2 linked regions of the Mytilus edulis genome follow. The protein of the gene in region 1 interacts with the protein of each later gene in a pairwise test. Links are inferred from orthologs where the notes say so. Each region holds a gene or a part of one and is shown in the gene's direction. Other genes may lie near its edges.

Region 1 (17,524 bases):
ACTACCTCTACCAAAAACTTTAACCTTAAGATGGACAGACGGACGACCGAACGAACAAACGCACGGATGCACAGACTAGAAAACACAATTCTCATAAATGGGACATACAAATTTATTGTTGAAATGGAAAATAGTGATTTTGCAAAAATGAAAGTAAGGTATAGATTAGAGGGAGACAGGACCTTTTTCGGTGCGTCGGGATCGGGTGATTTTAAGATCGGGATTTGGGGATTGATCCTTACGGGTCCGGATCCGGGAATATATTTTTCGATTTCAATATTTCGGGATATGAATTTCTTTAAATATTGCATCTCGGGATTTCGAGATCAGGACCCCTCCGACCACCCCTCAAATAAGCCTTAGTCTGTTTTAGTAATTTATACAAGATTCCCACAAGATTAATATCCTATACCATTGGCATGTTAATAAGGCTCTCAAAAGAAAAAGCACTGATGGATTGTCCTTGAAGCATATTTTATTAGACTAATAATCATGATAATGGTCTATATATAAGCAGTAACATTTATTTGATGTTTGAAACGGTGCAAAGTTTTAATTTGATTTGAGTGATTGATTGTTGGTTGCTTAACGTCCAGTGGCAAATATTTCATGCATGTTCAGGACGAGAACAGGTTAAACAATAAATACAATGGGTAGGTCGTGTCATGATAAAGGCCACTTAGGATGATAGTCGGGAAAATTTCGACTGCCACTTTGATTTGACTTTTACTAAAAGAAGCATTGTAGCAAAGGAGAAGAATAATTGTGGTCTGAGACCAGAATCACGAAAATAATTAAATTTAACAAAAAGGAAACAAATATCGGACTTTGGAAAAAGGGAGAGGGCTTTTGATACCTTTTATGAAATTCTCCATACATAATATATTTTCCAAAAAATCATACTACAACAGTTCACAAGCTGTATATACCCGCGATTTCGCGGATGTGTTCTAGTACAAATAAAAGTGCAGTGCAAATGCATGGTGAACATGTCTCTCAGAGTGACTCCACGCAGAGTTATCCGTTCCTTAAGATTGCAAACGTTCTAGAGATATTCTTCAGTATGCGTGTGCATAGATATTAATGATTTTTTAATTTTTAATATTATTAATCTATCTTCTTTAAAAAGTATTTGATGAGTATTCATTGAAGAAATGAATTTATAACAAGCGATAAGGAACTTGATGACGTTTACGTATTCATCATGTTTACAGATCAGTTAAAAATCCAAAACGAATATTACGTGAATGGAAATCTAGACGATAGCAATACACCGGAATGCCCTGTAAAAATACAATTTTAGATACATGTATGTCTTGTTGAAAAAAAATATATTTTTTCATAACCTGCCGTAAAAATAGTAAAATATATCTATATAAATATCTTAAATCTAATATAAATAACAAAATGGAATATCACACATATAACGAAGCAAGTTTAACAAAAATTATAAAAGCGATCATTGTCTTTTGTTATGTAGAAACTGGAAGATATACAAAAATAGTGTCAAAAAATAGCACATGGATGCCCCATTCGCACTATCATTTTCTAAAAATGATCAGTTGACAGTGAAATTGGGGTCCATCTCTAGTTTGACATCACATTACAAAGATCATATCATTGGAAACATGTCACAGTACTAAGTTGCAAGTTGATTGGACTCCAACTTCATCCTCAAATATTTCTTGCCTTCATTTCATATTGTATTGCGGCTCCCTGCAAGATTCAGGTTCTGTTCGCTTTCTGATGTAACCGCTGTTTTCTAGATCCATGTTTCTCATTTGTTTTTAAGTTCGTTTTGTGTTTTTTCTGTTCCCGGGATTGTATTTTGTCGATTTATTGCCCTTCTTTTATATTCTCTTAGTGTTGCAATCCATTTGTAATTTAGTAATTTGTTTTAAACTTGACTTTTTTTTTAATATATTTAAGGACTTTTTATCTAATTTTACAAACTACTTTAAATTGTATCCCAGTGAGGAATAAGAAACCGTAACATAAGAAACAAATGAGAAATGTATCCATGGGACACAGATGATGCCCCCAGCTTGCATATGATATAAGGTTAGAAAGGGACAAAACCGAAGAACATTGGACCAAACTGCTTGTAAAAACCGAAGGGTAAAGATTGTTTTAATTTGTTTAGTAAACATTGCATTGTATAGAGCATTAGTTAGAGTTGATGTAATTGTTAAAATTTGTTTTTTTAAATTAAATTTATCTTCCTTTGTCCATAATTGTAGTTGATTATTATTTTTTTTTTAAATTGGAGTTATCTTCCTTTGTCCATAGTTGTAGTTGATTCAAAGTTTTTGTATTTTGTATAAGTTTCATAATATTTGGTTGAAGCAAACTAAACTTAGAGAATGGATACAAGCTTTGGGATGTACGCACGAACGGACGGACGTATATACGTACAGACGGACAATGGTAAACCTAATGCCTCCTCCACTACGACGGGGGAAATAAAAACAAAAAAACAAAACCCAGCAGCCACATACTCAATTATGTGCGTTACATTGTTTGCTATATCCTACATATTGGTATAAGATAAGATAAGATATTTTTATTCCAATCAAAGGGCCCATAAAGAGCAAAGCAATTTCTTATTACAATGATTTTTATAATTGTTACAATAATGAAACAATAATGACACAACTTGATCATAAACATGAATTTAACTATATAATTTCTTAGATATTAATCTACAACCAGATCAGAGCCATATCCATAAAAAGGCATATATGTAACAATATATTTATTATTAACAGGCAAATATTCTCAACATCTTTAATAAAACAATATCTATACTATATTGCTAGTTTTCTCAGTTCAAAACATTTATTAATATAAATAGCAATATTTTTCAATACCTCTAGGTTTTCTTGAATAAAAAGCCAATTAAATTTGGCACTTGTGCTTAACTTTTCAAAATTTTTACACCCTACTGAAATATTATCATAAAATTCTTTTATGTTGTCCCAAAAAAACTCAAAGTCTTACACTGATAATAAAATTAAGAATGGAAATGGTGAATATATCAAAAATTAAAGACAGACAACAAACCGACGAAAGAGCACACCGAATGCCACCAATGGGCCTTCAACACAGCAAGAAAATCCTGAAGCCATAGGTGGTCCTCAGCTGGTCGCTAAATAAAATTGTGTACTAGTTCAGTTAAAATCCAAAACATAGAAATGAACTAAAATGGAAAATAAAAATCAAGACTAACAAAAGCAGGAGGCTCTTGATGTTTGTGAGATCCCCCCTCCCTCGTAGCAAATGCAGAATGAAGAAACACACATATATATAGCAATACGCACACTAAAACTCAGTTTAAAAGAAGTCGAGTCCGATGTCAGAATAGGTAACAAAAGGAACTAAGCAAAATGACAATTGAACATAAATGAACAAAGATAAAATTGAGAATGGAAATGGGGAATGTGCCAAAGAGACAACAACCCGACCATAGAAAAAAACAACAGCAAAAGATCACCAACAGGTCTTCAATGTAGCGAGAAATTCCCGCACCCGGAGGCGTCCTTCAACTGGCCCCTAAACAAATATATACTAGTTCAGTGATAATGAACGCCATACTAATTTCCAAATTGTACACAAGAAACTAAAATTAAAATAATACAAGACTAACAAAGGCCAGAGGCTCCTGACTTGGGACAGGCGCAAAAATGCGGCGGGGTTAAACATGTTTGTGAGATCTCAACCCTCCCCCTATACCTCTAGCCAATGTAGAAAAGTAAACGCATAACAATACGCACATTAAAATTCAGTTCAAGAGAAGTCCGAGTCTGATGTCAGAAGATGTAACCAAAGAAAATAAACAAAATGATGACTACTACCATGCCAGCTTCAGACATCAATTAAACTGATTGAAAGATTATGTCTTCATCATATGAAAATCTAGTTCAATCCCTCCCATTAGGGGTTTAGTATTATACCATCATAACATATAAGAGAAGAACATAATTATTGACCTGACAACAGTTTTGTAACTTTTTCCTCTCCGAATAATTCTGTTTATTGTTTAGTTAGCTTTTGAGGTAAATGCCAACATTTTTGTGCTTTGTCACTGAAAGAATATATATTACCATCAAATATTGGATGTGAAATACCTGAACGTTTAAGATGTCTACGTGTTGATTTATAGTTACGAATGCTGTCCTTGTACCGATGATAAATTTAATAAATGTTTTGATTAGTTTATGACCTATATATTAAGCGTTGAGACCAAAATACGGTTGAAAAAAAATAATTAAAACAGAACTTGCGCGCGTTTCAGATAAATAAGGGATTTGAAAAAAGTGCAAAGTTCCATTTTAAGAGAATCAATATTTGTTCAAGCAGTAACAGCAAAAAAGTATTTTCAACAACTTGAGAAACATGAATTAGATTTAGCTACCTCTAATTTACCTATCTGTTAAATTAATATGATGGTTTTGATAACTTGCAGCGTGCACTTTTCTAGGATAACTTATTACACCTATTCCTCGAATGCCAACATAATTTTACAGGCAACTTTATTTTTGTTAGCTCAAAAGATGTAAGCACTTAAGCAATATACCAATAGTTCGAGCCCAGGTTATAAAGGCTAAAATATTAATTTCCCAGATCATCCTCCACTAACCTCTCTACCAAAAATCAAATATTGGAATAGTATAATGTTGCTCTATTATGTCACATCCCTAGGGGAGAGCCTATATGAGTGTCTTGATTTGGGGGACTTCGTTTTTTTCTTTCTTTCAATAAGTTTTTTCATAACAAAATCTCCCCAGCTAACACATAATATTTTCATGATATTATTGACTGGTTATATATATGTTTTTCAAAAATATTTACCAAAACATATTTTAAAGACATTTTTTTACATCAGAAATGATGCATTAATGATATTTTAACAATAATATTTCGTCCCAATGTTTGATTGCTAATATAAACACATTTTTTGTAAATATTTTTTTATAATGAATAATAAATATTCTTTGCTGATGTTTTTAAAACGTTAAATAGACAGTTTTATAAATGAGAACAATTGTATGTCGAGGGGATATTTCTTTGCAATATTCAATCAATATCTGATGGACATTTTTATATAACATTTAATATATATATTTTTTAGATGTGTAAAAGAAATATTTATAAAACATTTTTGATTTACATCTATGTAAAGCATATATCTTTATTCTCATAAACCAAAATCCATGGTACAGAGATATAAACAATTAATAATATAACATATAGTCAGAATTAATACAAATGTATGATCTACAACTGGAAAAATATTTCCAGCTACATGTAATATAAAACGAAACGCATTATGCATGTATACAACATTATATAAAAAAGTTATTAAACAATGTTTCCCCTAAGAGTCCAGCTGTTTATTAATCAGCATAGGTTTGATGTATAATAAAATATCTTTTTGATATGTAACATCAATATACTTTTCTTGTCCTAATCAAAAATATAAAAATGGTAATATCTAATGAATATTTCAATAACATCATAACAATATATTTTTTCGATTTTATTTAGAAAATATTAGTTAAAGACTGTTTCATAATAGTTTTAAGATATATGTTTAATAGATATTTGTAAGATGTACAGCATGCTAGAAATGTTCTCCAAATGTTTGTCAGTGATATTTGAATGAAGCACATGTTTGATATGAAAAAAGAAATATTTTATAAACATTTTTACATAATATTTTTAATTGATATTTGTAAGATGTACGACAAATGTTTTTCTTATGTTTGTTAGTGATATTTGTGTGAAGTCCATGATGTTTGATATGAAAAAGAAATATTTTTTATATAATTTTTTAATCAGATTAACATGAATGTCTCCTCATTTTTGATAGAAAAGTCTTAACAATTCTAATCTAACTTAAATGAAAATTAAAATCAAGTCAAAAGAAAAATTATCTAGCGAATAACGATGGTGTTCTAAGAGCATTCAAGGCCGTAGCTACCCTTGAGGCAAGTGAGGCAATGCCTCACTAAAATTTCAACACTGATTTTTTTTATACATTTATATAAATATAATAGTCATTTGTTGTTCTGTCTCAACCTTGATTTCTATAACTTGGCATCATTCCTTTTAAACTATTCTTCCTGGATATAACTCAGCATCTTAACGGGTGATGTTTCTCGATTACATTAACCTAGTAACGATAATCATAATGGATCTCTAGTTAAAAACAGGCTCTTGCAGAAAAAGGAAAAGCGACACTGAAGGTAAATAAGGAATAATTCTAGTAAACTAGTTTTTTTTTAACAGAGTCTGAGTATTGCATACAACTTCATTAGTACAATCCAAAAACGATAAGTAGACTGACAAATGAAGTACTGGTCTTCGGAAGGGGGCAGTCCTGTCTGCGTATTCATTTCTCCGTTTCACCAACTTTTGACAAATCAAGTACTGGGCATCGCAAGGGGGCAGTCCTGTTAAACTGGTCCGCCGTTCTATCTATAGCTTCGCACCGTCAGTGTAGCGATAAGTGAACACAACAGGGGTCCAGTTTACAGTCCTGTCTGCGTATTCATTTCACGAACTTTAATCTTTTTCTTTACAGATTATTAAAATATAAATAATATGAAACCTCCATGGATTAGTTTTTATCCATGTTTCTTTAACCTTAAAAATTGAAAGAATATCCCATATTCCAATTTGATATTATTGAGGATCGAATGATAGAACCTTTAACACAGGATTTTGTCTTTACTTATTCTGGACTACGGAATTTCGTTTCTTTAAATTCGGGGTTTCGGAACACCCCTAACCCCTAAATTTATAGATTCTGGAACTAAAATACCACCAACTATTTCCAGAAATAATCGGAAATTACGGACTTACATGTAAACGTCAAAAACTCCAGTCCAATTTCCCCTGTACCCATACCAGATATACTTACTCTATAGATAAAATCATATACCTGTATCTTATCTCATTCTATCCCTAGTTTGTATACTCTTTGTCAGCATAAAAGCGAGTTTAATATTTTGAAACTGCGACTGTATATGATGGTGCTTACAGGAAAGCTTAATTCCAAAATACAAATACAAAACTGTTACTAGTCTACCGATGCTGCTACCGAATTGCTGATGGAGAAGGAATTGGAAGGAGACATTGATCATTGTGTTGATGATAATTTGCTACCTTTAGAAACACAGACTGCCCTGAAACGACTGAAAACTTGGATAAGAGCATGCATGAGTGGCGAGAGATTGTGCGGTCTTGCCATGCTCCGTGTTTATCGCGATAAGGATATCAGCAGACCAAATTATGATTCTGAAACGATTTGACTGAACCGGCAATAGAAAAATTTGGCAAACTCTAATCAATCGATGTTCTATGTTCTGACAGCAGACTCAAATCAGTGATATTTGGATGATTATCTTACATATAAATTTAAATAAAGTTGTTAAAAATTTGGTGTTCGTGAATGTCTTGAAATATGAAAAATTTGTATAAAAAGTGTCCAAATTCAAAACATTATCAAACTCTCTAAAAATGCCTAGAATGCAGGATTTTGCACCATTCATTTCATACCCTCCAAAAAAAAATTTCGACTCGCTTCGCTCGGCTCAATTATTTTGCCTCACAATTCTAATCTAACTTAAATGAAAATTCAAATCAAGTCAAAAGAAAAATTATCTAGCGAATAACGATTGTGTTCTAAGAGCATAATCCCCATTGAGGACCCAGTAAAAAATCAAAATGATAAAGTCATACCAAATAGGACTACGATAATCTGTGCCTAGAACTAGAAAATTCTTTCTATTTTGCCTAATTCAAAGTTTTTTAAACAGTGTTTATAAAAAATATGATTGATATTTCATGCCAATAAAGAAATATAAGCCAACATTGTGCCAACAATATGCCAACGTATTAGGTACTTATCTCACCCCCTTTGTACCACATACTTGAAAATTATATTATTCCAATGTTCTAACAAAAAATGTGCTCTTCCTTCTCTTTATCTAACATTTTCAAATCTGTGTAGTCATTTAAATATCTGAATAATTTTATGCACAAACAAAAAATATTTAAAACCAGCACAAAACAACAAATACAATTTGAATATACTTTCATTTTTTCAATTTCTTGTAAATCAACACATCATTACACGAGTGAATTTTCCTACTCTATTATAATATTAACCAGTAGAATTTATGAATTGACTTATAATCATTCAATCCAATGCCTTAACTTTTATTAAAATGAGAATAAGGTTGACAGACTGTATTTAAAAAAAACCATTAAGTAGACATCAATAAAACATATCCTAGACATTAGAAGAATATTTTGTCCTGATGTTTGAAAGATGTTGTCTGGATATTTTCAATTGAAACTGAATTATATCAAAATTATGTTATTTCAATATAAAATCAAGATATTTAAAAATAATGCTCTTTAAACATTCAGAACAAATATTTCCAGAAAATATGCTATTCACATGAGTACAGCCAGACATATCACGTCAAAAACATGTTTTTGAATGATATTTTGGTGATATTTTGCAAGATATTTTAAAAATATCAATAAAATGTTTTTGTGCTACCTGGGTCTACGGTTTTTATATTTTGTTCATATATATACCAGTTTTCTCTATTCTTTAACGCTTCCTAAGAATAAAATATCAGATTATTTTGTCTGGTACACTGACATCGACTTTTATCTCGGTCAAACCATGATTTGATTAGTTACCATATTTGGTAAATTATCTCTTTTTTCGTCAAATTTATTTTTAGAAGGGGTTTCCCGAAATTTGCGATGCTACGTCATTTTCGTGATGAGGTCACCTCATTCGGAAAAATAGACTCGTTCTGGAATTAGACAATATGGCGGCCACCGAAAAGGGAAGGAAATGATATACAAATCTGATTAATTTTGACTATAAAACCCTTATGCAATTATCGATAATGTTTCCTGAGTATATAATAGCATGACCTAAAAGTACAAATAATGTAGCGTAGCATTTGTAGTGCCATGAGCGGTGTAGGGGGCTAATATACACCCTTTATTTTGTTCAAATGAAGAATGGGCGCACAACAAGGAAAAGAAGGAAAAAGTAGTAGCTCAAGTAAACCTAAGAGTAAAACAAAAGATCAGTCTCGACCATCACCCGGAAATCCTTCTATATTTACAGATCCGACTGGTAAGTTTGTGAACCCTTTATAGGACATGACTCATATCTCCACTCGAGATTTATAAGAAGATTTACTTTATCTCTTGAAATAATTTACAAAAAACTCTACAGGCAAACGAACCTCATATTCATTTTACTAGAGAAAAAGTGTTCTTGTAATGCATTGCATTTGCTCAAATTTATAATTGAAAACAATTCCTTTTGAAGGCAGCCAGAAGTAACATGGTCATGCATGAAGGAGTTTTGTGAGGAAATGTAACTTATTTAGTTGTCTGAAATTGGTTTGAAGCTTAAAACCTCAAAAGTAACCCAGCTTTATTTCTTGATGTCATACACCTGAAACATGTTCCTCTTCATATAATACAATCTACATGTCGTGTATATAAGAAATCTGTCTTTGTTAAGAACAAAATAGATTGGAACTAAGGTATCCGGTCGGTATGGCCCCAAAATGATCCGGCCCATAGTCACAGGGGATGAAATTAGCAGGGGCCCACAGGCCAATGGCCCCTAAAATTTTGTTTGGGCTACTTAAATTTTTGCTTTTCTTGTATAGAACTATATATGTGGACCACAAAATTTAAGCTGTGGGCTACCATTGCCAAAGTCTTAAGTTCTATCCCTGTTAAGTTGATCCGGCCCAATTCGATCCGGCCCTACGAAGATCCCTCCCAAAAATTAAATATGGAATAAACTATATTGACTTTGGAGGGTTTGGTGATAAATTTTATCAGTCTAAAAAAGTATCGATGATGGATGACAACAGGTATAAGTGAAGTATAAGAATATATTTGAGTACCAGTCAATTACATGTAGCATTCAATTATTTTAAGTTGAAAACCGCACAAATACAGTCGAGAACTTCAAGGCAGCTTTCCAAACAGTCAATAGGTATCTCTCTCTGGTATCTTTATATAGATAGATGAGAGATAGGAAGATGTGGTGTGAGTGCCAATGAGACAACTCTCTATCCAAATAACAATTTATAAAAGTAAACCATTATAGGTCAATGTACGGCCTTCAACAGTCCCTCCCCGTAATTGATCTTTCCTACTTGCGAGGGCCTGAATTCCTAACACGATAAAAACTTCATGAATCCTGGATTTTGAATTGTGCCCTGTAGTTGAGGTGACCAATCAGCTATTAGCTAAATTTTGTTGAGATAAGTAAATCCCGAGCTAATTCCGAATGGTTGATTGAAGATTTTTCATTGTCTATGCATTCAGGCGTTAATGTAGTAAGCAGAATACAATGACTGAATTATTCGGGTTAGACAATTGCTAATTTTCTCTATTGTCAATGCTTTGGATCAAAAGTATTTGAGAAATATAAAATCTTACAGATACTGCCATCTGCCAAATTGGGCGGTTCGTAACAGAGTACAAACAGCCGATTTCCCCCAGTGAATAACTAGTCATCACATACATTCCCGTAAGATTTTGAGGTTACTTAGAATACATGTATGTCTGATGCCACCATTCAAAATTTTTTATGCCCCTGCCATAGCGAAGCGGGCATTAAGTTTTACCCTTGTCCGTCTGTATGTCCCAAAATTGATTTCCTTTAGCTAGCTTTAGGTTGCCTCTACCAAATGTTATGAAACTTCTACAGTCTACACAATGTTTATTGTTTGAATTTTGGTGGTGTCACTTGAATATTTCTAGAGTTGTGTACCTTTACATATGATAAAAATGCTGAATTTATCTATTCCATTCTTTAACTTTAGTTTCCCTAAATCAAATAGGATATTTAACTTATGCACAATATAAAAAAGACAATGTGGTATGATTGCCAATGAGACAACTCTCCACAAGAGACCAAATGACTCGGAAATTAACAACTATAATATGGCTGTCAACAATGAGCATAATGAGCATAGCCTATACCCCATAGTCAGTTATAAAGGGACCCAAAATGACAAATGTAAAACAATTCAAACAAGAAATGCTTGTTACCACAAAACACAGATCAAGTTTGAATTTGGGTGGCATCACTTTTACTGTTAAAGAGTTACATGTATGCCCTATACAAATTCCTGAATTTTTCATTTCTGTTCTCTAACTTAAGTTTGCCTCAACTAACTGTTATGAAACTTATACACAATACTTATTTCCACATTTGGGTAGTGTCACTTTTACTGTTCTTCAGTTATGTCCATTTATAACTTTATATGATATGGAAGCAGGGCATCATCTATGTGTTCCATGGACACATTCCCCATTTATTGTCTTTTAATATTGTATAAAAGTTCCAAATATGATTTTTGGGTTTTATTTCATACTGGTAAATCCTCTGATCTTGACCTCTTTTCATTGTTCGTTGGTTGATGTAGAGTTCCCTGGTTAAGTTTGTTTCTTAGATTCTGTATGCTATAGGTAAACTATGTTCGATGTATAGAATGATTGAAAGGTGTACATGTCTGTCTGGCAGAGATAATCTGACCTTGACCTCATTTTCATGGTTCATTGATCACTGTTAAGTTTTCCGGGTCAAGTTTGTTTCTTTGTTGTACAATAGGTCAACTATATTTAAAGCATACTTGTTGTATGGAATGATAGTAAGCTTAAGGTGTACAAAAGTGTTTCCAGTTTGATTTATCTGACAATGACCTCCCCCCCCCCCCCCCCCCCCCTAATTTTTTTTCACCTCACACTTCCCTTATTCCAAAAAGAAATTCTTTCCCTCAAAATAATCTCAATTCAAATTTCTAATGGAGTTTGCAACCATGATAAACTAGTTAAATTTTACCGCTTTTGTCAGTACACTCTTAATAGGAGTGATCGTCTTATAAGTCCATTTGTTTATGCATATGCCTCTTGTGTTTTGGGCAAAAACTAAGGAAAACGGTGAGAAACTGTTTACTTATTATACTTTTACTTTGATTCAAACATTTGACAGGAGTTACATAATACATAATTTAATTCCTTATTTATACAGTTGACTGTTGGACAGTTCTGATGATATTTAGTTATTTGGAAAAACTCTTGTTATTTTTAGCTGCATAATGTGATTCATGAGCTAGAGAAGACTGATATGATTCAGGACATCTTTTCCTAAGTTTTGAAAATAAGTTAATAAGTACACAATAAGACAACCTTACTGGGGGTCTCATTGGGGGGTTCCGATCCCGGATCCCGCTTACTGTTTTGTCAGATTCCCGTATCCTGCTTACACTATATACGTAAGCAATTCTCCTTTTTATGTCATTTCCCGGGTCCTGCTAGACCTCATTTCCCGTTTTCACGACACAATAATTTGACTTTCACGTGTCACGCTTACAAAATATCAGCAATCCCGCGTCACGCTTAGACCCTAATGAGACCCACCTTACTGGGAGTGAGGATACACTTAAAAATATGAATCAACCCTTCCCCTCCAAAAAACAAACTTATTTTCTGTAAATTCAGAAATTATTGCGATGTTTTATTAATGGGCCTCTGTAAGTATTGCATATATCTCACATTTTTGTCTGTTCTTCAACAATCTCAATAATTTCTGAATTTATAGTAAATTTATTGGAAGACAAATTCACAACATGCAAGGTAGATTGTACAGTATACATGTATGTAACATGGTACAAATCTACATGTAGCTGGTGTGGTTGATTGAGGATAGGTCAGTGAAGTTTTGTGACTGGAATGTGATAATGTTAGATTGAACTTACCAAAATTTGTGACAAGTGATTGTACAAGTGGGCACAATTTTTACTATTACAATTCACATGTTTATTTACTGAAATATAATTAATTGATATTTGCACTTGACACCTTTTGATGTGTGACCAAGTATGATATAACAGGATTGTGTATTGATTTTATTATTATGTTGCAACACAACATGATAAACCTGCTGAGATTATTAAAAATTCCTGTTAAATTCATACCGTATTGTTGATATAAAAGTCTTTGATTCAAAAACCATTCATCAAACATCTGAGTCATGTTTCCTCAATATTCTCTTTTTTTAAGCAGACAGCTTCCAGGCTTTGTTTCTACAAGCTTAATTAGGCCTATGATAAAACTATATAGTTTTAGGCAATTCTGTCTTTCGTATTAAGTAAGGAAGGTTCAGGTGTAGACATATGTCACAGTTGTATAAATTATTTTTTGGTTATAAGTAATTTAAATCTTGTCAATTTTCTACAACTATATGCGTTTTCTGTAAATTAGAGGAAAAAACTACCTTACACTTTGAGGTAGTCAATGTACATGTACATGTGAATGAAGTTGAGGAATTGTCTTACATTTATATTGATTGTAATTGATTGTTTGAAATTGGAAGTTCTTCTTGTTTGAGGGTCCTCGTTTGCTAAGAGGTCTAAGTAGTTTTAGTTTTTACTACTGTCATCACTAGCTAGTATATAGCCAGTCAACACTGAGGTTGTAAGTTGAAACCACGCTCATTCAGGTTCACAATTTTAAATGACTAGGATTGTCCATTTTCCTATTGAAGGTCATGATCTTCTCTAGGCACTCCAACTCTCTCCACCTTTAAATTTAAAAACTGACAATCAATCAAACATCTTCTTTTTTGACTGAGTGAAACAGAATCTTGACATAGTCCTTTGAAATCCCGGCTAGCTTCAAATAAGTAAACCTTATAAGGTTTACTGCCCTAATACCAAAAGACTTTTAGAATTATTGTTCAATTTAAATGAAATCAATTATTTATTTTCAAAATGTCATCACTAGTCCCACAATTGTATGTTTTAAAGTTTGAAAATTTATTATATATTTCCATTCTTCATGAAAATTGAAGTTTTGTAAAACAAAATTTAAGATATGCTCTCCTCTAGGCTCTAACTAAATTTAAGATATGCTCTCCTCTAGTCTCTAACAAAATTTAAGATATGCTCTCCTCTAGGCTCTAACTAAATTTAAGATATGCTCTTCTCTAGTCTCTAACAAAATTTAAGATATGCTCTCCTCTAGGCTCTAACTAAATTTAAGATATGCTCTCCTCTAGTCTCTAACAAAATTTAAGATATGCTCTCCTCTAGGCTCTAACTAAATTTAAGATATGCTCTCCTCTAGGCTCTAACTTAATTTCAAATTGGAAAGGGGGGAAATTAAAATATTCCCTTGCTTCCTCCAGTGTTTGTACAAGAAAGTGTGAAGAACATCTATTCAGTTTGGAATGGCCTAAATTATACATGTATGATAAGTTTATTCTAATCATCCTCTATATCTGTATACAACAGATACTTCAATTTGATGACTTACATTTGTATCGGAAGGCAAAGGCACCAGATGACATAACATAGCCTGTAAAATACTTAGTAAATTGATACATTATTGTAGCAGGCATTAGATAATTCGCAGGGAATGTAATAATTACTGATCTGTACGTGTGACTCATAGAGTTACTTTAACTTGTATTTAAGTATTCTTTAGTGTCATTTTCGGTACTCTTTTCTCATCATTAAACAGCTGTAAGTAATGTTGTCCTGATTGCGTTCATTAAAATATATTTCTCCCCTTTCAGTTGACAGTTTTGAGAGTCTCTGACATAACTTTGTTATCACTGGTTATCACTGGAAGGTCACCTCATAGCAGAGTTTTTAGCTGATAAAATTTCAAACTTTGATCTTATCATTGTTACTTACACAAGAAAATAAGGCACAATGTGTGGGATTAAATTATATTCTCATATCTATTTTATTTGCACTTGCATCAATTGTCCAGCATTTGCAATAATAAACACATGCAAAAACTTCAGAAGTTACAGTATAAAATCATTAAAAAAAAGAATGTTTTATTTTTTTGCAAGATTGTCTCCAAGTTTTTCTTTAAAAAAAATACCTGTTCTGACTTAAAAATATCGATTTTATATATATGCCATCAAACCCCATTGGGATATATATCTTCATTCATATAAAGATCAAATAAAAATGAGACTGTTATAAAGACATGTGTTTTCCTTTAATTGACCTGTCACATGTGCACTCATGTGTGCTAACAAGGAATTATTTGTAAAGAGCCAAATGGCTTAGAGGTCAGTTTGTTGACTTTGTACATGAAAAAAAGTGAATCAATTATATCAGAAATTAAGAGATTAAAATAAGAAAAAGTCAGACCAGTTATGTGCCATTGGCCCATGTTGTGTGTATTTATAAATACTCCCAAAGGCAATTTAGGTTGATTTCATCAGATATTAATGTCTCTAATGTCTTATAAAATATGGTTTACACTCACTGTATCCATATCTGCAGCCAATTGTATTTAAAAAATGTCATTATACCAGGGTGTCATAAGAAAACAAGTAGCTAAATATATAGGTATAGAGAGAATTGACATAGACATTGTTTTTATTATACTTGAAGGTGTAACCCATTAAAAGGTTGTTGTCCAACAGAGGATGACCGTAAGACTAGAGGATGACCATTAATGAAGCAATTATCTGTCAATGCTTGTTAGTGATTGATAAATAATTACGGACTTCTAATAAACAAATGGTCATCGACAATTTAGAATTGATTCTGAAGAGAGAACTGGACAAATTATAAACCAGACTTGTAGTAGTCATCAATTATTGATCTATTTATTGCTTAGATCTAAATGGCCTAATTGTATACATGTAGTATAATTACAACTAATTCTGACAATTAGATTCCAGTTTTAAAATAAAATGCCATGTAATGAATGCACCTGTGCTTTTTTATAGTGCAAGGTGTAACTTTCACATTTTGCACACACAAATGTCATGAATGTATTTTTAAAAATCACACTTTATAAATAGTGTATAGAACGAAATTGCTACTTCAATAACTTGTATATGTATTGAACGTAAAAATTTGTACACAATTTACCATTTTTCCATAAACATGTTTTATAATAATATTTAAATTTTTATTTGCAGATTCCTTGCTGCAGACACGCCCACTACCTGATGCCCCCTTAGGTCTGCTAGATACAAAATGGATGTCTAAAGAAAATCTGTTAGCCAATCAGGGTGAAGATGACCCAAACCTGTTTGTTGCTTTGTATGATTTCCAGCAAGGTGGTGAAAACCAACTAAGTATATTTAAAGGTTTGTAATGAAATAAGATGAATCTTTGTTATAGCGTCCATTAACAATATTTATTTTTGAGCAAGGGATTGGTATATATGAAACACCTGAATTCTCAACTCGAAACATTTGAAACTTAAAGTGAAAATATATATTCATTGACACCTATTTACAGCCAAATCCACAGTTGACATGTTGTTACTTAGGCCAAATAAAAATATATGTGTGATTCCAGTTACATACTTTTAAAAAATAGGGTCGGTAGGTCGGCAATTTTTTTTTCTTCTTTTTTTTTCTTTCTTTTTTTTAATGTCAAAATCTGGAAAAAAATCGTGTGTTTACCGAAGTTGTTTCCCAACTGGAAGTCCGCCTCTTTACATGTGTTTGGTTGTAAAATAAACAGTCATGATATGTTTTTAGTTAATTTTGTTGCATTCTGTTATGAATTGTTGCATTTTAGCCATAACAGATACTTGGAAATTCAGATGACAGAAATCTATGAATTTAATTATTTTAATTCACACTCCTCAAAATTTGATAGTTTGAAATTTTTTTTTAGAAATGAAAAAAAAGTTCTAGGGTCGGTCGGGTTACTGGAACCACACATATATTTTTATTTGGCCTAAGGAGTGAGTTATTCACTGGCTGGAATCCATAAATGAAAAATTTAGATGAAACAACACCTACATGTACCTGAAAAACTCTATTTTTATGATATATTATCTGTATTTGAAGCATACAAGAAACAATGTTTATAAAATTTTGCTGAAATTTCATTTTTCCAAGCTATAATGCATTATTTCTTTTTTTGTGATTTTGGAATTTGGGACCAGAACAGAAATAACAGTTCTGTAGTGTTTTTGCATCAATATTCTTAGAACCCGTAGATTCCTTGCATACATGTATGTATCGCTCATGAATATGTTTCGTCAACATTGTTTATCTAAGTGTAAACCAAGGGAAATTTTTTTTAACTGAACACTCCCATTAAGGTTTTTGAAGATTTGCCATTCATATAAGAATATATTCTTAGGTTAATTTATTTCCTTAAAATACTATGATTTCATTCATAAAATAAAACAAGAAGGAAGGATTTGGTGACATTTGAACTTATTGTTTACCCTCAGGTTCAGTTCATATTTTATATTGCTTCCAGTACATAGTACAATACACAGGAAGCTTTATAAAATATGAACTTTGCATATCTATAAAGTTATAACTTATAGTAATAAAAATATATATGACATTAGCTTTTAAGTTCTGAATTGTATATTATGTTGCTTTACGATAGATATAAATGTGATAAGTAACATACTTTTGTTTCTATCTAGGTGAACAAATAACTATCCTTGG
Region 2 (17,352 bases), on another chromosome or scaffold:
TAGAAAAAAAGACGAGATGTCTCTGAAATAACCCTAGTTTATCAACCTTTTGATCAACCACTGGTGATGTTTTATAAAGTCTGAGTAGCAGCTGCAATCTCTAGAATGCCGAATGAGTTGGGACATGTATATTTCATATGCAGGTGAAGATGGTAATTGCTGTTAAGGTGGAGGAAAATTTACAACTTGTCTCGTTTGTCATAGATTCTGGTACTAAGATGACCGCTTATGCCAAATTCGAGGTATAAGCCTAAAAAGTAGGCGGAGTATGTTGTTTTTCTAATTGTTAGTCACAGTACCAGTATAGTACACAAATATTGTGGGCTTCCCCATTTATCCGCCGATGAAAAAGCAAAATAACAAAAATACTGAACTTCATGGAAAATTCAAAACGGAAAGTCCCTTTTTAAATGACAAAATCAAAAGCTTGAATACATCAAGCATAATGAAAACAACTTTCATATTCCTGACATGGTACATGCAATTCCATGTGTAGAAACTGTTGGATTAAACCTTGTTTTATAGCTAGCTAAACCTCTCAATTGAATGACAGTCGTATGCAATTCCAAAAAAAATGACAACAATGTGTGCGCAAAACTAACAGTTAAACACATTTATTTTCTACATTGTAACTGTAGAGACTACTGTAACAGTAATAGTAGTCTCAGGTTACTGTAAAAGAGGGGCGAAAGATACCAAAGGGACAGTCAAACTCATAGATCGAAAATAAACTGACAACGCCATGGCTAAAAATAAAAAGACAAACAGACAAATAATAATACAAAAGACACAACATAGAAAACTAAAGACTAAGCAACACGAACCCACCAAAAAACTGGGGGTGATATCAGGTGCTCCAGAAGGGTAGGCAGATCCTGCTCCACATGTGGCATCCGTCGTGTTGCTCATGTTATTACAAACCCAGTAAATAGTCTAATTCGGTAGGTCACATCCGTGTTGAAAAGGGAAGTGGATTGTAGTTACGACATAAGGAACATATCAGATATCATCTGTGAAACGGTTATTCCATAACGGCCAACCAACAAGTGATGACGTCCGTAAAATTTACGAAGGGATGATTTCAACTTCACCATTTGGATGAACACGTCGACCTCACGATTAATAAACACTTTTCCTCGTTCCTAGTCGAACAGTTGCCTATATAACGGAGATACAATGGATAAGCGTTGGTTCGTCAAAAGATCTCATTTCTCTTATTTATTTTCTATTGATTTAACGTCTTTTTATCATTACAATTATTCACTTACCTATAGACACTAATATTGGTGACCTACGAATGCCATTTAATGACATTTTTCATAAATAAAAATATGTTAGCAGTATGAGAATACTTTCCTAAACTCATGTTTTCCTTGTTGTGTTTTGTGTACTATTGTTTGTCTATTGGTTTGGTTTTTTTTTTTTATCTTTTTAAGCCATGGCGTTGTCTTTTTATTTTCGACATATGAGTTCGAATGTCCCTCTGATATCTTTCGCCTCCTTTTGAACGATTATGATTCAGAAAGTTATACGTATGTCATAAAATAAGATGTTAAGAAATTATTCGAACAAATTATCAGGTTAAATTGTTTTTTCTGAATTTTTGTAAATGGAAACGACTTAAGCCATAACTTAAATTACACAGTAGCAATTAACGAAAAAGCATTTGTAAAGTTTGTTTTCTAATAACCCTTCAGTAAGACATACCGTAAGAGGCAAATAATCTATATAAAAAAAAGTAAATAGTTAGCAAAGGTACAGGCTTATATGTGATCCGTGTAAACTCAATGAACCATTACACAAACATATTAGTAAAGGTTTTCTTACCAATGTTGTAATTAGATCTTTGAATATAGTTTACATTGGCACTAATATCGATTTTGTCATCAGCAAATTAAAACATAACTAAATTTGTATTCTTTTCAAACGGGATATATAAAGACACACCCACGTTCATTTTTATCTATTAAGAGGTTATTCTACTACCTGTCGATACATTAATTTTTGGCATTGCACAAATCCTGTCTTCTTTGACTGTCCATGACGTTAAAATACTAAATACCTGGGATGTGTTTTAGTTGCTTTTAGTCTCTGGTGCATGATTTTAATCATTAATTGTTTTGGCTTTTAACTAGCTGTCAGTAACTGCGAGTACTCTCAAATCGTACTTTCTTGTTAATTTGACCTGTTGATACTATTTGTAATTATCTTTTTTTGTTATTTAATGTTTTCTTATTCAGGGTTATATCTGGTCTATATACCAGCTTTGATACGTGTTTGGTGTTACTATAAACTTTCACTTCTTCGTACTATGAACATCAAAATTATTTGTAAAAATATTTCCTTTCTCTTTTTATACTGTATACCTAACAACAAAATTATTTTCATTTACCGGTGTATGATATTATTGTAAATGGCGGATTTTTGTTCAAGGTTATTGTTGTTTTTCTGAAATCGTTAACATTTCACAGCGGTATAATACTGTTACTTTAATTATTCATCCCATATTCTATTGATTTTGTATTTACATTGTACCATATATCAATAATATTCGTTCAGTGTATGTTCACTTGTGTTACGGTCAAGGAACAGTAAATGGGCTATGTGGCAGATTTTTCTAAAATTTTGCATGCAACCTTGACTCGATGAACTAAAAATGAAAATCGAAAAAATAATGCGTTTATCTCTTTTATTACCTGAAATATTACAGATTGATTTCTTTCAATAGAAGTTATTATTTGTATAGATAGCACATAAAATTTTGGCTTAAAAACATCAAATCTCTAATTCTACTCCATAGATTTTTCTTAAAAACTATTTGTTGTTGACACATAAAATTCTGTTTTAATGATATAAAATAATCTTATGGTCACCGACGTGGGATTTTTTCACAAAGAACACGACTGTGAATGATGTATACCGTAAAAACAAAGTCGGTGACCCTATCTTTATTTTGCACCATTAAAACGGAAATTCATGTATCAACAAGATATAGTTTTTTAAGAACAATCTATGGAGTAGAATTCGATTTTCGGTTGTAGTTTTCAAAGTTGTATGCAAAATTTTACTGAAATCTGTGACAGAGCCAATTTGCTGTAACTTGACCTTTATATGTCTTTTGATTGAGTTAAGCCATTTCAATTGATATTTTATAGTGTGTCTTTCTATGTTTGCACCTATCCTAAGTCAGGAACCTGATGTTCAGTAGTTGTCGTTTGTTGATGTGGTTCATAAGTGTTTCTCGTTTCTCGCTTTTATATAGATTAAACTGTTGGTTTTCCCTTTTGAATGGTTTTACACTAGTAATTTTTGGGGCCCTTTATAGCTTGCTGTATCCTTCAATCACCCTTCCAGGAGGTAGTGAATTCAAAAACGCACCCACAAAGGAGGTACAACATTGACTACAAAAAGTAAATGATTTATTTCAATGAACACCACAAACAACTATCCAGAGAAATACCGAGGTTCCAAAATGACCTGGTTATTCAGGATAGTCTATAAATCAAACCCAACCTAAAAATTAATGGACAGAATATATAATTTTCCATGTCGCAACCTAAACATCGGTCCAAGGATAGTAATTACTCCAATAGGCCGCATATCTGTTATATGGACTTCATATGTCTTTGGTATGTGGCCTGCCTTATGGTCTTTATTAAACTTTTTCGTAAGGAAAGAAAGGCTAAAAAGCAACCACACCTATTCCCCAATAGTGACATTTTGACTGAGTGAGGATACCCATTGCGGATAATGCATGCATAACAGGAGATGTTTACTCCGAGACGCTACCTGTTTCGCTCCTTTTGGCGCCATGACGTTGTTAGTTCGTTTTCGACGTATGAGTTTGAATGTTCCTTTGGTATCTTTCGCCTCTCTTTTGGAGCTCATGCGATTACCTCAGTGTTTGGTTCTTGCCTTGATTCAGGTGATATACTGGTTATACTTATCGTGAAACATATCTTTTTAAATACTAGTATCCCATATCAATAAAAAAAAAAATCAGGAGCTTATTATGCTTCCGTAATTTCTAATTTCTCATTCAGTCAGGAATGTTCGAAGTGTCCTTTCAATATTGTATTCCGTTATCAATTAAATATAAATGGGGAAAACAAATGATAACTTGTACAGTCCTACACAAGTACTATGATAAAATACCAAAGCAGTTATATTGTTTGGTAAAAAAGTAAAACATATATCAGCTAAATAACTTAGCCTCTGTAAGAAATGTCCAAATGTTAGTACAGCTGTATTTATAAATATATATTGGCCTAATTATCAAACGGGTTGAAACAACTGGTCAACGGTTATTACTTTTTGATAGTCTTCTGATTATACTTAACGTTAAACACCAATATATATACATATATACTAGTATATATAAACAAGTCTAAATTAAAAACAATGTTCAAACCTATGATAATGATTGCGTTGGATAAAAACTAGTGTTGTCAAATCGTACACTTTTGCCTAACCGGTTACTCGGATAATCGTTCGACCGATTAACCGGTAGTTTAAGTTGATGTTTGATAGCCTTATCTATAGTACCCTACACATAGATATAAGAAGATGTGGTATGAGTGTCAATGTGGCAACCTTCTATCCAAGTCATACATTTACGCTTTTATAATACGATGAACTGAAGTTTGTCCTTTGGTGTTGTAAGGATTTTCTATGAAGATTCCTGGCGAAGTTTGACTTTTAATAATCAAATACACTGTATCAACTATGGCGTTTGTACTAACTTCAGATTGAAAAAAAACCTTCTTGATCTCGTAGAATTTAATATTGTCTGAAACTGATGTTTCTTTCACTTTGGCTTGTTGTCTCCGAAAATAATGCTTCAATTTAAAATGATTTAGCATGTTACTCGTACTATCAAGTATACATCGATTACATTCACACTGGTTTGCATATCACAATTTTTGAGTTAGCATTCCGTTTAAAGTAAGACTAGGAGATTGCAAATTCAGATGTAGGTCTACACAATATTAGATCAAAAACGAAATAATGAAGTAAATCGTAAAATTTAATCGTATTACTGATTTAAAGTTTCTGTTAAAAAAACATTTATATACTAATTATGTTTCTTTAAGAAATTGCCCCGAGCTGAGAGACAAGTTCTAATTAATTGTTTATTTTTGGATAAGCAATAGCAATCAATATACTGGACAATTGATCTGTCAACTTAATTACCAAGACGACAATTTTTAAAGAAAACATAATTGATGATTTCAATACAAATAAGTTAAAATCTATCAAAAGTGAAAAAATATCCGGTTAACCGGTTAGCGTATTTGGTATTCGGTCGTTCAAACGGTTAACCGTTGACAACACTTATAAAAACCGCAATTTTTATATAGTGTGCATGTAAAACAAATTTCGTTGTAGAGGGGTCTTAGTACGTCCAAACAAGTGACAACTCTACTAAAGATCCATTGGATGACCAGTGAAGGGGATACACGGCTTCAAACACATATTATATTCATAATTACTCTAATTATCAGCACAACAATAGTATATCCGCAAATTTGTTCATGGGTATATCGAGACAACACCGTCTGCATTCAAGACCGATCGACCACGTAGACTTAACTAACAATTCAGCTTTCGGTGGCTTAGTGTTACCTTTCCTCGTTAGTAGAATCTAGAGTTGTAACACAGTATAGTATATTAGGCATGACAATGGAATTGATTGCAGACTAGCTAAATTATCAGTCGTAAACGATAGGGAGATGCAATCACATAAATACCATCTCATATATAAAAGCACATCATGCAGAAATGCATCTAATATGTTTTTTTTCCCTAAACTAGAGTTTTTGCTTCTTTCCAAAATCAAAGTTGAGAATCTGGTAATCCATCAGATGAATGTTTCCTTCATGACAGTCTTGAACATAAAATTAGATACTGAATAAACGAATCTGTTTGACTTTCACTGTGCAACACAGTTAAACATAGAACCTTATTTAAATATTTTTGTCAGAAAACACTGTCAGACATCTTAACATATTATCCACACTTATCTACACTTGTTTAATACTTGTAAATATTATATAAAGAGAAACACCAGAGCATACTACACTTCATGCAATCGTCATCATGTTATAAAATGGTTAGTATTCGAGTAGGCAGATCTATGAAAGCTAGTTTCTTATTTTTATTAAGATAGATATGAGAAGATGTGGTATGTGTGCTAATGAAACAACTCTCCATCCAAGAAACAATTGGTAAAATTAAACCACAATAGGTCAGAGTACGGCCTTCAACACGGAGCCTTGGCTCACACCGAACAGCAGCAACAAAGCCCCACAATGACTAGTGTAAAACAATTAAAACAGGAAAACCAACGGTTTAATATATTTAAAGAACGAGAAATGAGAAACACTTGTGAACCACATCAACAAACGACAACCATGTGCAAACAAATGCAGCAGGTTTAAAGGTTATAACAGGCACTAACCTTCACACTAGCCTGAGGAAGAAGTGTAACAAAATAACATAAAAAGACACACTATAAAATACCTAAAAAAATTAGATTGAAATGGATTAACTAAAAATAAAAGACATATTTACAAAAACAAGTTAACATACAATGAACGAATAAATATTTTACAATTTAGCTCAAGATAGATTACTTACATAAGCTAAGGAAGTCAAAAGAAGTCATTTATCAACCGCATAATCGGGTGAGATAGAATATATGAAATATTGGGATCATTATAGAAAAACATTACCCCTGTGAAAAAAGTTAAAATACTGGTAGGTTTGAAGCGGTAATTGTGAGAGCAGCATTTAACTAACCAAATCAATTTTGATATATCGTATTATATTTGTATTGACTCGATCAATCTAACAAAAAAAATAAACTCACAAAAATACTGAACTTTGAGGAAGCTTCAACACGGAAATCCCTTATCAAATGACAAAATCAAAAGCTCATACGGCACACCAAACGAATGGACAAGGGTTTCCTTTTATTTTGTCTAATACTGCAGTCTGTAATTTCACATGTTTCATCATGAAAAAATACCAAAAAACCTCACATATTAGATTGTCGTTTGGTTTTTTTGTAGTATAGATTTTTTAAATTAGTAATATTTAACAAAGCCATAGTAGAATACCACTATTTAATAGTCATGAATCGATTCAACTAAAACAATCCGGGTCACACACTAATACTGAGGGAAAGACATCAAATATATAAGAAGGAAAAAACAGAACATCAAAAATGCATAATTGTTGAATTATACCATTTACATGCAAACAATTGTATAACCGCATTCAAAGCGGTGGGTCATGTAGGCTCAGGAGCCTGTAATTCAGTGGTTGTCGTTTGTTTATGTGTTACATATTTGTTTTTCGTTCATTTTTTTTACATAAATAAGGCCGTTAGTTTTCTCGTTTGAATTGTTTTACATTGTCTTATCGGGGCCTATTATAGCTGACTATGCGGTATGGGCTTTGTTCATTGTTGAAGGCCGTACGGTGACCTATAGTTGTTAATGTCTGTGTCATTTTGGTCTTTTGTGGATAGTTGTCTCATTGGCAATCATACCACATCTTCTTTTTTATATTGCTTGGTTTAAACGCCTGTGAGTAATATGATCGTATAAAAGTTCAAATGCAGAGCACATAAAATTAAAATTAAAAAAAACTGAAAATTCAAAAATGGGGAGTTCCTAATCAAATTGACTAAATCAAAATCTCAAACACATCAAACGAATGGATAACAACTGTCACATTCCTGACTTGGTACAGGTATATTCTAATATAGAAAATGGTGGATTAAACCTGGTGTCATGACAAGCTAAACCTCACACTTGTTTGACAGTCGTATACAAATTCCATTATATTGACACCAATGTGGGAACAAAAACAAACAACCATAATAGGTATAATGCCAAAAATTTTAATTTCTAACATCTTGGAACAATCAATGATTTTTTTAAATTATATAAATTATTCGTTCTTAAAGCATGCTATTTAAGTATACATTTGTCACTTTTATAAAACAAAAATGAACTATTTTATTTACTCTGTCTTTCAGTCAAAAACGAGTAACACGTGTGTAAAGGTATTGAGGTCAATTTGTTTAACCATCTTAAGTTTATACAGTAGATATGTGATATACATGAACTTTGCACATCTTCAGGGGCGGATCCAGCCATTTCAAAAAGGGGGTCCCAATCTAGAGTAAAAAGGGGGGTTCCAACTATGAGCTCCCATCCAAATGCATTGATCGTCCAAAAAAAGGGGTTCCAACCCCCGGAACCCCCCCCCCCTGGACCCGCCACTGATCGTATCTCTCTTATACCTTCCTATTTCTTTGACAAGCCGTTTGGTGAGCGGCCGATGGTTGCCATCGCTGCCTGAATGAAATCTACGTCTCTGTGACCAATTAAAAATACCAATTAACCACAGTTTAACTTGAAAAAAATAATCAGTAAAAAATAGTTTCAATGAACCAGATGCAGATCGAGAATTTAAAATAAAGGGGACCGGCGACAACTGGCAACATTTGGAGTGCAAGTTGTAAAAAGTCTTTGCATTAAAGTATATAATCATGATGTAGCTCAATATCTTGAGGACCTGGGCCGGCTCTGCTCCTTAAATCCGCCATTGTGGACCACATTCTGTACATGCTGTACTATAATTAAATCAAACTGCTGCCTGGCATATAGTCTATCTGACTCTCAAAAGTTTGCTTTTGTTTTAATTTCTGACATTAAATAATTACATTTTGGACGTAACACTTCTTTTATAAACTGACATAATTTTGGTCATGTGATCATGACATCATCAACGTTTTTTCATGATTTACTCCCCTAAAATGTAATTGAGAATTACGTAGTAAGCAATAACTGTAAAATTATTTTTTTATTCTCAAAATAATATAAAAGAAGTGGTGCAAACTGTTAATTAACCTAACTTTTAGTTTAGACTGGACTATTAGTGCTACGCTGTTATTCGGTGTGTACCACAGTTTTAGGTAACTTTTTCATAGATAGAAAATAAATGTTACAGTAAATCCTCGAATAACTGAGATTGCCAAGAACACAAATTCTCTAATTGTATCAATCGGTCTTGCTAAGATTTACAGTTTACTAGGAACACGAATTTGAATCTAATTCACCCGGAAATTCCAGTTGGACCGATACTGTTTTTTCACATAAAAATTAGACAGCACACGAACATTTCCGGTTAAGGATGTCAAATTTTCCACCACTTCCACAGGTTTGAAACTCTGTTATTCATTAAAAGGCGATACTTTTCGCCATTATGCACACTTTGTCGTAAACAATTAAGCAAATAGTAAGAAAATGTATTTCAATGGTCGAGTCGTTTATCATATTTTGCACTAGACAATTGACCTCAAGTACACGCAAATTATAACTCCTTCTGGGCGTAAGATATAATTGTTCTTTCTTCTTGTGTATTTGATTCTTTCTAAATAAGTTTAATTGTTAAAGAATCTTACTAAAACAAACTTAGCTGCCATACATTATATCCCAACACACAATTTTTTTCTGATACTACATTGTACTATTATTTGATCATGTCCCCTTCTAGTTTGATCACTTAACACATATTTTACACTTTAGTACAGAGTTCGACTTGTAACAAAGAAGAAGAATAAGTTCATATAGTACATCTTTGTTTGCTTTTCTCAAATTTTAGTCCAACAAAGCTAGATGTGCAAATTTGCATTTGCATGATTAGCATAAAGCAGGATTTGAACGATTCAATGTTTGTTCTCCCTTGTGCCTATTCCACCACATACCCGTTTGCCCTTGGTTCTGTTTGCCTGAATATCGTATTTATATTATTTAGATTTCATGGATGTCTTGTTGTTTAATTTAAAATATTTAAAAAAAAATATATGTTGAAGTTTGATGAAAATATTGTCATGATTGTAATGCTGCTACCAGATATAAATTATGTTTTCCGTCACAAGGTGACTAATATGATTAGTTCATTTGAAAAAACCTTTTTGATTTTCAAAAAAATGTATATATTCTTCATTTTGTTTTTTAATATTTACCATACAAATATCTGAATAAGTTTATAAACCTTTCTACAATCAATATTTAATTATTTTTTCTTCGTAAAAGTACATGGCAAATGAACCCAGGTCTAACTGACTCTATGGGTAAACTTGTTATCATGGTTATCTAGCCGAATGAACCAGCTTATACTCATTTGAACCTCTGCATATCTGATACATTGTGGTATTACTGTTTCCAGCACCAAACACCACTTAACTAACTTGGCTATATAAAAATACAGCTTTCATTAGTCAAGTATTACCTTTCCTTGTCGGCTTTATGTTGGGTTGTAACACTGAATATGAGATACATTGTATAGTCAAGTACTGCCAGATCGTATACCTTGCAGATCAGCTGTTTTTTTATCTGTCCAAAGGATGTTAATTTTACTCACATCATATTATAATTTTTACATGTACATGTATATTCATGTTTTTTAATTCTAACATGTAAAAAAAAAAGGTAAGAAGTATGTAAGCAAGATAACAAAAATTTATGAAGGTTTGTTAGATGAAGATGACCGTTCATAAGACAAAGATCTTGATGCTGAATGAGCAATACAGGCTCTTTTGAAACTTCTAGTACTCTACATATGTAAGAAAAAAAAAATTGATAACACAATTTATAGTTTGAATTTCATTTATTGATACTGTGTATTTTTAAAAATTTCAGATTGCTGGTAACCATGCATTAGTTTATGAAGCATATTATAATCAGGTATTGTTTAATGTTAGATCACTACATCAGATACATGTACTATTACTTAGCAAAGCACTATTTTAAAGTGATGTATACAAATGTAGCTAAGCAACAGAATTATATAAATGGGAGTGTAAAAGACCTTGACTGGCTATACAGCTCTTGCATGGTGGGTTATCAGAATTAAAGATAAAAACATAAGATTATACATATGTATGCATGTGCTGTACAACACGTAACTTAATCAGGCAGTGTTAAAAACTTGACAAATAGAGACCTACATAAATTGACATTGATTAATATTTCAGTTCATAAAAGGAAGAAATGTGCGAAAATAACTTTCTTTTTCGTTTCCTGTTCTGGTAATAGAAGATACAGTTTGTTTGAAATGCACTATGAATAAACAATTAAGGGGTGATAACTCTGTAATTTGCTTCATTCTAACCAAAACTTATCTGTCATGTCTGTAGTTCTTTTGAATTATCAGACATACAGAAACAAAAGACATACTATTTCTAGCTCAGGATGATGGTTTGTTCAGAATAGCATGGTAAGGTTGGTCATTTTTTTCTGACCATGTTTTGATATTTATTTGAATTGCCTCGTTTTTAAAAAGACTCGCTCTTGAAAGTATATTTGTAAATAATTATATATTTTTATGTATTTATAGGCTGATCCAAAAGGAACAGGGAGCATAGGAGCTTTAGATGCTGCAAATTTCTTGAAGAAATCTGGACTCAAAGACTCAGTTTTGGGACAGGTATTGTAATTTTTATCTGCAAAAAGTAAATGATTGTTCTTTAAATCCATCATGCTCAATACAATTTAACTGTCTTTTGGTATAAAAATTAGCTGATTTATCTTATATATTGTAGTATTTCTTGCAGCTTTTAGATTTTAGAAAATTAGATAAAATGGCTGTTATTGAATTTTGTGTGTAAAGGGAAAAAAACAAAAAAATGCATTTTAGTAATGACCACAAAGAACAATAAGACACTCAACCTCTAATTTCCTCCTGTAGAAATATAGGATTTGATGGTTTGCTATAATTCTGAATAGTTTATAAAAGAGAGAATGAAACTGCTAATTACTGCACATCAATATGCAACTAGCCACAGAGCTTTAGAAGAAAACATTACAGAACCTTAACAGGTTCAAGCCGAACAGACTAGCAATATGGTTATATAGTTTTCTGAGTACATTTATTTATGAGATTGGGGATAGTTGTGATTGGTGGTATACATGTACCTGGTAGAAAATGTTGTTCAATCAAAATGTGAGCCATTATAGATGACATGCAATGAGTACAAAATTGGTAAATAGATATAAAAAAGATATGGTATGACTTCCAATTCTCCATCCAAGTCACATTTTGTAAAAGAAAACCATTTTAGGTTAAAAAAAAAAAACGGCCTTCAACATGGAGACTTGGCTCACACCAAACAGCAAGCTATGAAGCTCATTTGATAAGAAATCATTTGCAAGTATTTGATGAAGTTTGTATGATAAGAATAAATTTTATGCTTTTGCAGATATGGGATTTGTCAGATCCAACCGGAAAAGGATACTTAGAGAAACCAGGCTTTTATGTTGCTTTAAAGTTGGTTGCACTATCACAGAGCAACCAGGACTTAAATTTACAGAATCTGATAATTGATGCACCACAACCTAATGTTGTATGTATAAAATTACTCATTTAATTTTGAATTTTCATTGCTTATACATACATGTACAGTTGACACACAACTCTATGAAAAAAAGAAGCACAAACAAGGACAAACATCAATGAATAACACATGTACATTGTTAAGATAGCCTGACTCCATAATGGCACAATATGTGAATGCCTTTCATAGCTTATTATATGGTATGGTGATCTTTACTTTTTACAGGAGTATCTCTTTAGTAGAGTTACCAGTTTATCTTAAAACTCAGGTTTTTTTTAAGTCATTGCTGTTATCTTGTTTGCTTGGGTAAAGAAATACTTATATTTGTGATTGCAGTAGATAATTATTCTGCTATTATTTGGATTTTTCAATACAATGAATCTTTTTCACTAAAAGAATTTGAAACAAATAAAAAATAACATAAACACACATCTTACAATAACATTTTAACACAATATAATAAGGACAATGGCTTGTATTTTATGATTTTCATTTTCAGGGACCAGTTGATTTGACTCCAAAGCCTGAGCCAGCTGTACAGAATGCTACCAGTGTACCATGGAAAGTTTCAGTTAGTATTTCTTTGTATCAAATTATGAAAACCAAAGGAACACATTATTTACTTATATGTAATTTAAGTATTGTTTATACAAACAGAAAAGCATTTCAGTTTACAAGTAATTAATTTTATAATAAAGATGCTGACATCATGGATGCAATTAATTAACATACACGGACCACTTGTTATATCTTGAGGTTAATTATACATATTTGACACTTTGAAGTTACAACTGGAATCTCACTAGGAGGCACACTAATCTTTTCTTAATCAGATACATGTCATAAACAATCACTGTAGGAGAGAGAAAGCAGAATATGATACCAGATCTCTTTAATACTTTTACACATTAATTAGTATGTTATTTGAGGGTCAGTAGGTCAGTCTCCTCCCCCTGGATGTTACATTTACCCAATCTGTGTGTAAAGCCAATTGCATGGTCTTTGTATAATCAGTTTCTTGGTTCATAGCAGCCTGACTAGTTGATGGAGTTTTACAGTGCTATTATTCAATTTATTATTCAACTGAACTTCATATTTATTTTTTTTAACCTTTGTCAATTTGATGACTGATTGATATAGGATTATTGCATGCAGTGCTAGCATTGATTTCCTTAATACAAGTTTATTGATGTATTTATTGGTTAAAACAAATAAAAATATGGAACAAATCAAGTACACCTTTCAGGGTGCACTCCACTTTAGTAAAACAGCATGAGGTATTTTGGAATTTACAGGTTGGTTAGAATTTTCTGTAAAAAATAAACACTATCACATCATAGAAAAGCAAATGAGTAATCTGTTTCAAATTTTATAACAAAAATCTCTGTATTAAAGGCTGTGGATTTTCTATAAAAATCTTGGTTTATTTGCAACAAAGTACTCTTTTTCTATTAAATTCAATGAAACAGTAAATAATAATGCTTTGCATCAAGTTTCCCCTTGGTATATATACAAAATGGCCTATCTCTATTTTTCATTATATCTGTAGTTTTTATACGACCGCAAAATTTGAAAAATTTTTCGTCGTATATTGCTATCACGTTGGCGTCGTCGTCGTCGTCCGAATACTTTTAGTTTTCGCACTCTAACTTTAGTAAAAGTGAATGGAAATCTATGAAATTTTAACACAAGGTTTATGACCACAAAAGGAAGGTTGGTATTGATTTTGGGAGTTTTGGTCCCAACATTTTAGGAATTAGGGGCCAAAAAGGGCCCAAATAAGCATTTTCTTGGTTTTCGCACTATAACTTTAGTTTAAGTTAATAGAAATCTATGAAATTTTGACACAAGGTTTATGACCACAAAAGAACGGTTGGGATTGATTTTGGGAGTTTTGGTTTCAACAGTTTAGGAATTAGGGGCCAAAAAAGGGCCCAAATAAGCATTATTCTTGGTTTTCGCACAATAACTTTAGTTTAAGTAAATAGAAATCAATGAAATTTAAACACAATGTTAATGACTACAAAAGGAAGGTTGGTATTGATTTTGGGAGTTAAGGTCCCAACAGTTTAGGAATTAGGGGCCAAAAAGGGACCCAAATAAGCATTTTTCTTGGTTTTCGCACCATAACGTTAGTATAAGTAAATAGAAATCTATGAAATTTAAACACAAGGTTTATGACCATAAAAGGAAGGTTGGTATTGATTTTGGGAGTTTTTGTCCCAACATAATAAGGGGCCCAAAGGGTCCAAAATTAAACTTTGTTTGATTTCATCAAAATTGAATAATTGGGGTTCTTTGATATGCCGAATCTAACTGTCATGACTGTGTATGTAGATTCTTAACTTTTGGTCCCGTTTTCAAATTGGTCTACATTAAGGTCCAAAGGGTCCAAAATTAAACTTAGTTTGATTTTGACAAAAAATGAATCAGTTAGGTTCTTTGATATGCTGAATCTAAAAATGTACTTAGATTCTTGATTATTGGCCCAGTTTTCAAGTTGGTCCAAATCGGGGTCCAACATTAAACTTTGTTTGATTTCATCAAAAATTGAATAAATGGGGTTCTTTGATATACCAAATCTAACTGTGTATGTAGATTCTTCATTTTTGGTCCTGTTTTCAAATTGGTCTACACTAAAGTCCAAAGGGTCCAAAATTAAACTTAGTCTGATTTTAACAAAAATTGAATTCTTGGGGTTCTTTGATATGCTGAATCCAAAAATGTACTTAGATTTTTTATTATGGGCCCAGTTTTCAAGTTGGTCCAAATCAGGATCTAAAATTATTATATTAAGTATTGTGCAATAGCAAGTCTTTTCAATTGCACAGTATTGCGCAATGGCAAGAAATATCTAATTGCACAATATTGTGAAATAGCAAATTTTTTTTTAATTAGAGTTATCTTTCTTTGTCCAGAATAGTAAGCAAGAAATATCTAATTGCAAAATATTGTGCAATAGCAAGATTTTTTTTTAATTGGAGTTATCTTTCTTTGTCCAGAATCAACTTAAATCTTTGTTATATACAATATACAATGTATATTCACTTTTTACTACCAACTGATAAATTGAAATAATCTTTACCATTCAGTGATAACAAGCAGTTTTTTTTACATCTTAATATTTTATGATGTATTTAAATGAGTAGTTATTGTTGCAAACTCCATTAGAAATTTTAATTGAGATTAGTTTTGGAATAAGGGAAAGGGGGATGTGATTAAAAAAATTGGGTTCAATTTTTCTCATTTGAAATTTCATAAATAAAAAAGAAAATTTCTTCAAACATTTTTTTGAGAGGATTAATATTCAACAGCATAGTGAATTGCTCTAAGAGAAAACAAAAATTTTAAGGTCATTAGAACACACATTCATTCTGTGTCAGAAACCTATGCTGTGTCAACTATTTAATCACAATCCAAATTTAGAGCTGAATCCAGCTTGAATGTTGTGTCCATACTTGCCCCAACCGTTCAGGGTTCAACCTCTGCGGTCGTATAAAGCTACGCCCTGCGGAGCATCTGGTTATACAATTGAAGTTTGAAAAGTTCGTACAAAAATGGCTACAGAAGGGGTCATAAACCTTAATACATATTTCAATTCAAAATATGATCATTTAGATTAAAAAGATAACGAAATGAATTTAGATATTGAAAATAATAAACATGTAGTTCTAAACAATATTATGAGAATAATTTGTGTTTGGTTATTTTGTAGGCTGTAGAGAAAACCAAATATGATCAGTTGTTTGATAGTTTGGTTCCTGTTAATGGACTGTTGTCAGGAGATAAAGTTAGACCCGTAAGTATTCACAGAGAATAAGCTCAGTGTTAATGGAGACAAAGTTAGACTTGTAGATAATATAAAATATTAAAATTGTTATCCTGATAATTTTGAATCAGTTAATTTCCATCAACTTCATAAGTTTTCTTGTGTTGGCATTATTAAATGTACTGTTTTCAAAAACTGAAAAAAATATAACCTGATAAGCATAAATTTAAAATATAATTTAAAATTATTTGCAATAAAATGTAATGATTAGATGATGCTTCATGTAAACTAGTAGTATATATAGAGTAACTTTTTGTTCTGAGTATGATAGACTAGTATGTTATTATTCTATTTTTCAGATGTTAATGAATTCCAAGTTACCTGTAGATGTTTTAAAAAATATTTGGGAGTTAAGTGATGTAGACAAAGATGGCTACCTTGACAGAGATGAATTTTGTGTGGTTAGTAGTACACAATCAAAAAGACAGAACAAATATTTAACACTTGTTTATAACTACAAAGAGGCTAACATTCTTGTCTTTCAAATGTTTTTTTAGGCCTTCCTACTGATAGTTAATCCAGAAAAGCAATTCTGACACACAAAATTTATTTAAGAATTGAATGCTGCTTTTTGTAAATTTATTGGGGTGTAAAAGCGTTGACCGAAGTACATTTTGTATGAAGCGCGGAAGCAACCCTATAAAGTTACAAAAAGAAGCATTCAATACTTATAATTACATTTTTTCAGCTAGAATCATGAAAACACGATTTTTATCAAGTTTTCATTTAATTTACCTGTGCACTTTATTGTGGGACCTCGTGTCATCATGAATGATAAATGTTATTGTCTAATACAATTGTTTCAGGAATAGCACGAGATGTGCAGTTGGCCAATCAGAATAACGTATTATAATGAAACATACGGTACATCTAATGTAATTATAAAGTGTTATTTTCATTTTCAATTAAATGCTTCTGTGGTCTTGTGGTATTGTATGCACCTTGAGTACCTGGTGTTCTCTAAGCAAGCAGCATCATGGATTAAGAGGAGAGACTGATTAGCTGGGAATCAGATTAATGTGTCTGGATAGGCTGACATGTCTTCCTGTAGACTAGCACCTTTTGAATTAGCACCTTAAAAATCCAGCTCAATATGTCCATATATAAATAA

The links.
Region 2: the proteins of tyrosine-protein kinase Abl-like (region 1) and epidermal growth factor receptor substrate 15-like 1 interact in a two-hybrid assay, tested with the Caenorhabditis elegans proteins (2 studies listed by BioGRID). The link is inferred for Mytilus edulis from reciprocal best matches to the Caenorhabditis elegans genes abl-1 and ehs-1.

What each region holds. Positions count from the first base shown.
Region 1 is NC_092345.1:30,620,782-30,638,305, reverse strand, and holds the start of tyrosine-protein kinase Abl-like, read left to right. Parts: upstream 1-8,819; 5' UTR 8,820-9,054; coding exon 9,055-9,172; intron 9,173-16,021; coding exon 16,022-16,192; intron 16,193-17,502; coding exon 17,503-17,524. UniProt on the Caenorhabditis elegans protein: Functions downstream of migratory protein mig-13 and is involved in Q neuroblast migration during larval development.
Region 2 is NC_092344.1:33,430,056-33,447,407, reverse strand, and holds the start of epidermal growth factor receptor substrate 15-like 1, read left to right. Parts: upstream 1-9,171; 5' UTR 9,172-9,207; coding exon 9,208-9,234; intron 9,235-10,718; coding exon 10,719-10,763; intron 10,764-11,415; coding exon 11,416-11,505; intron 11,506-12,277; coding exon 12,278-12,421; intron 12,422-12,911; coding exon 12,912-12,983; intron 12,984-16,127; coding exon 16,128-16,211; intron 16,212-16,540; coding exon 16,541-16,642; intron 16,643-17,352.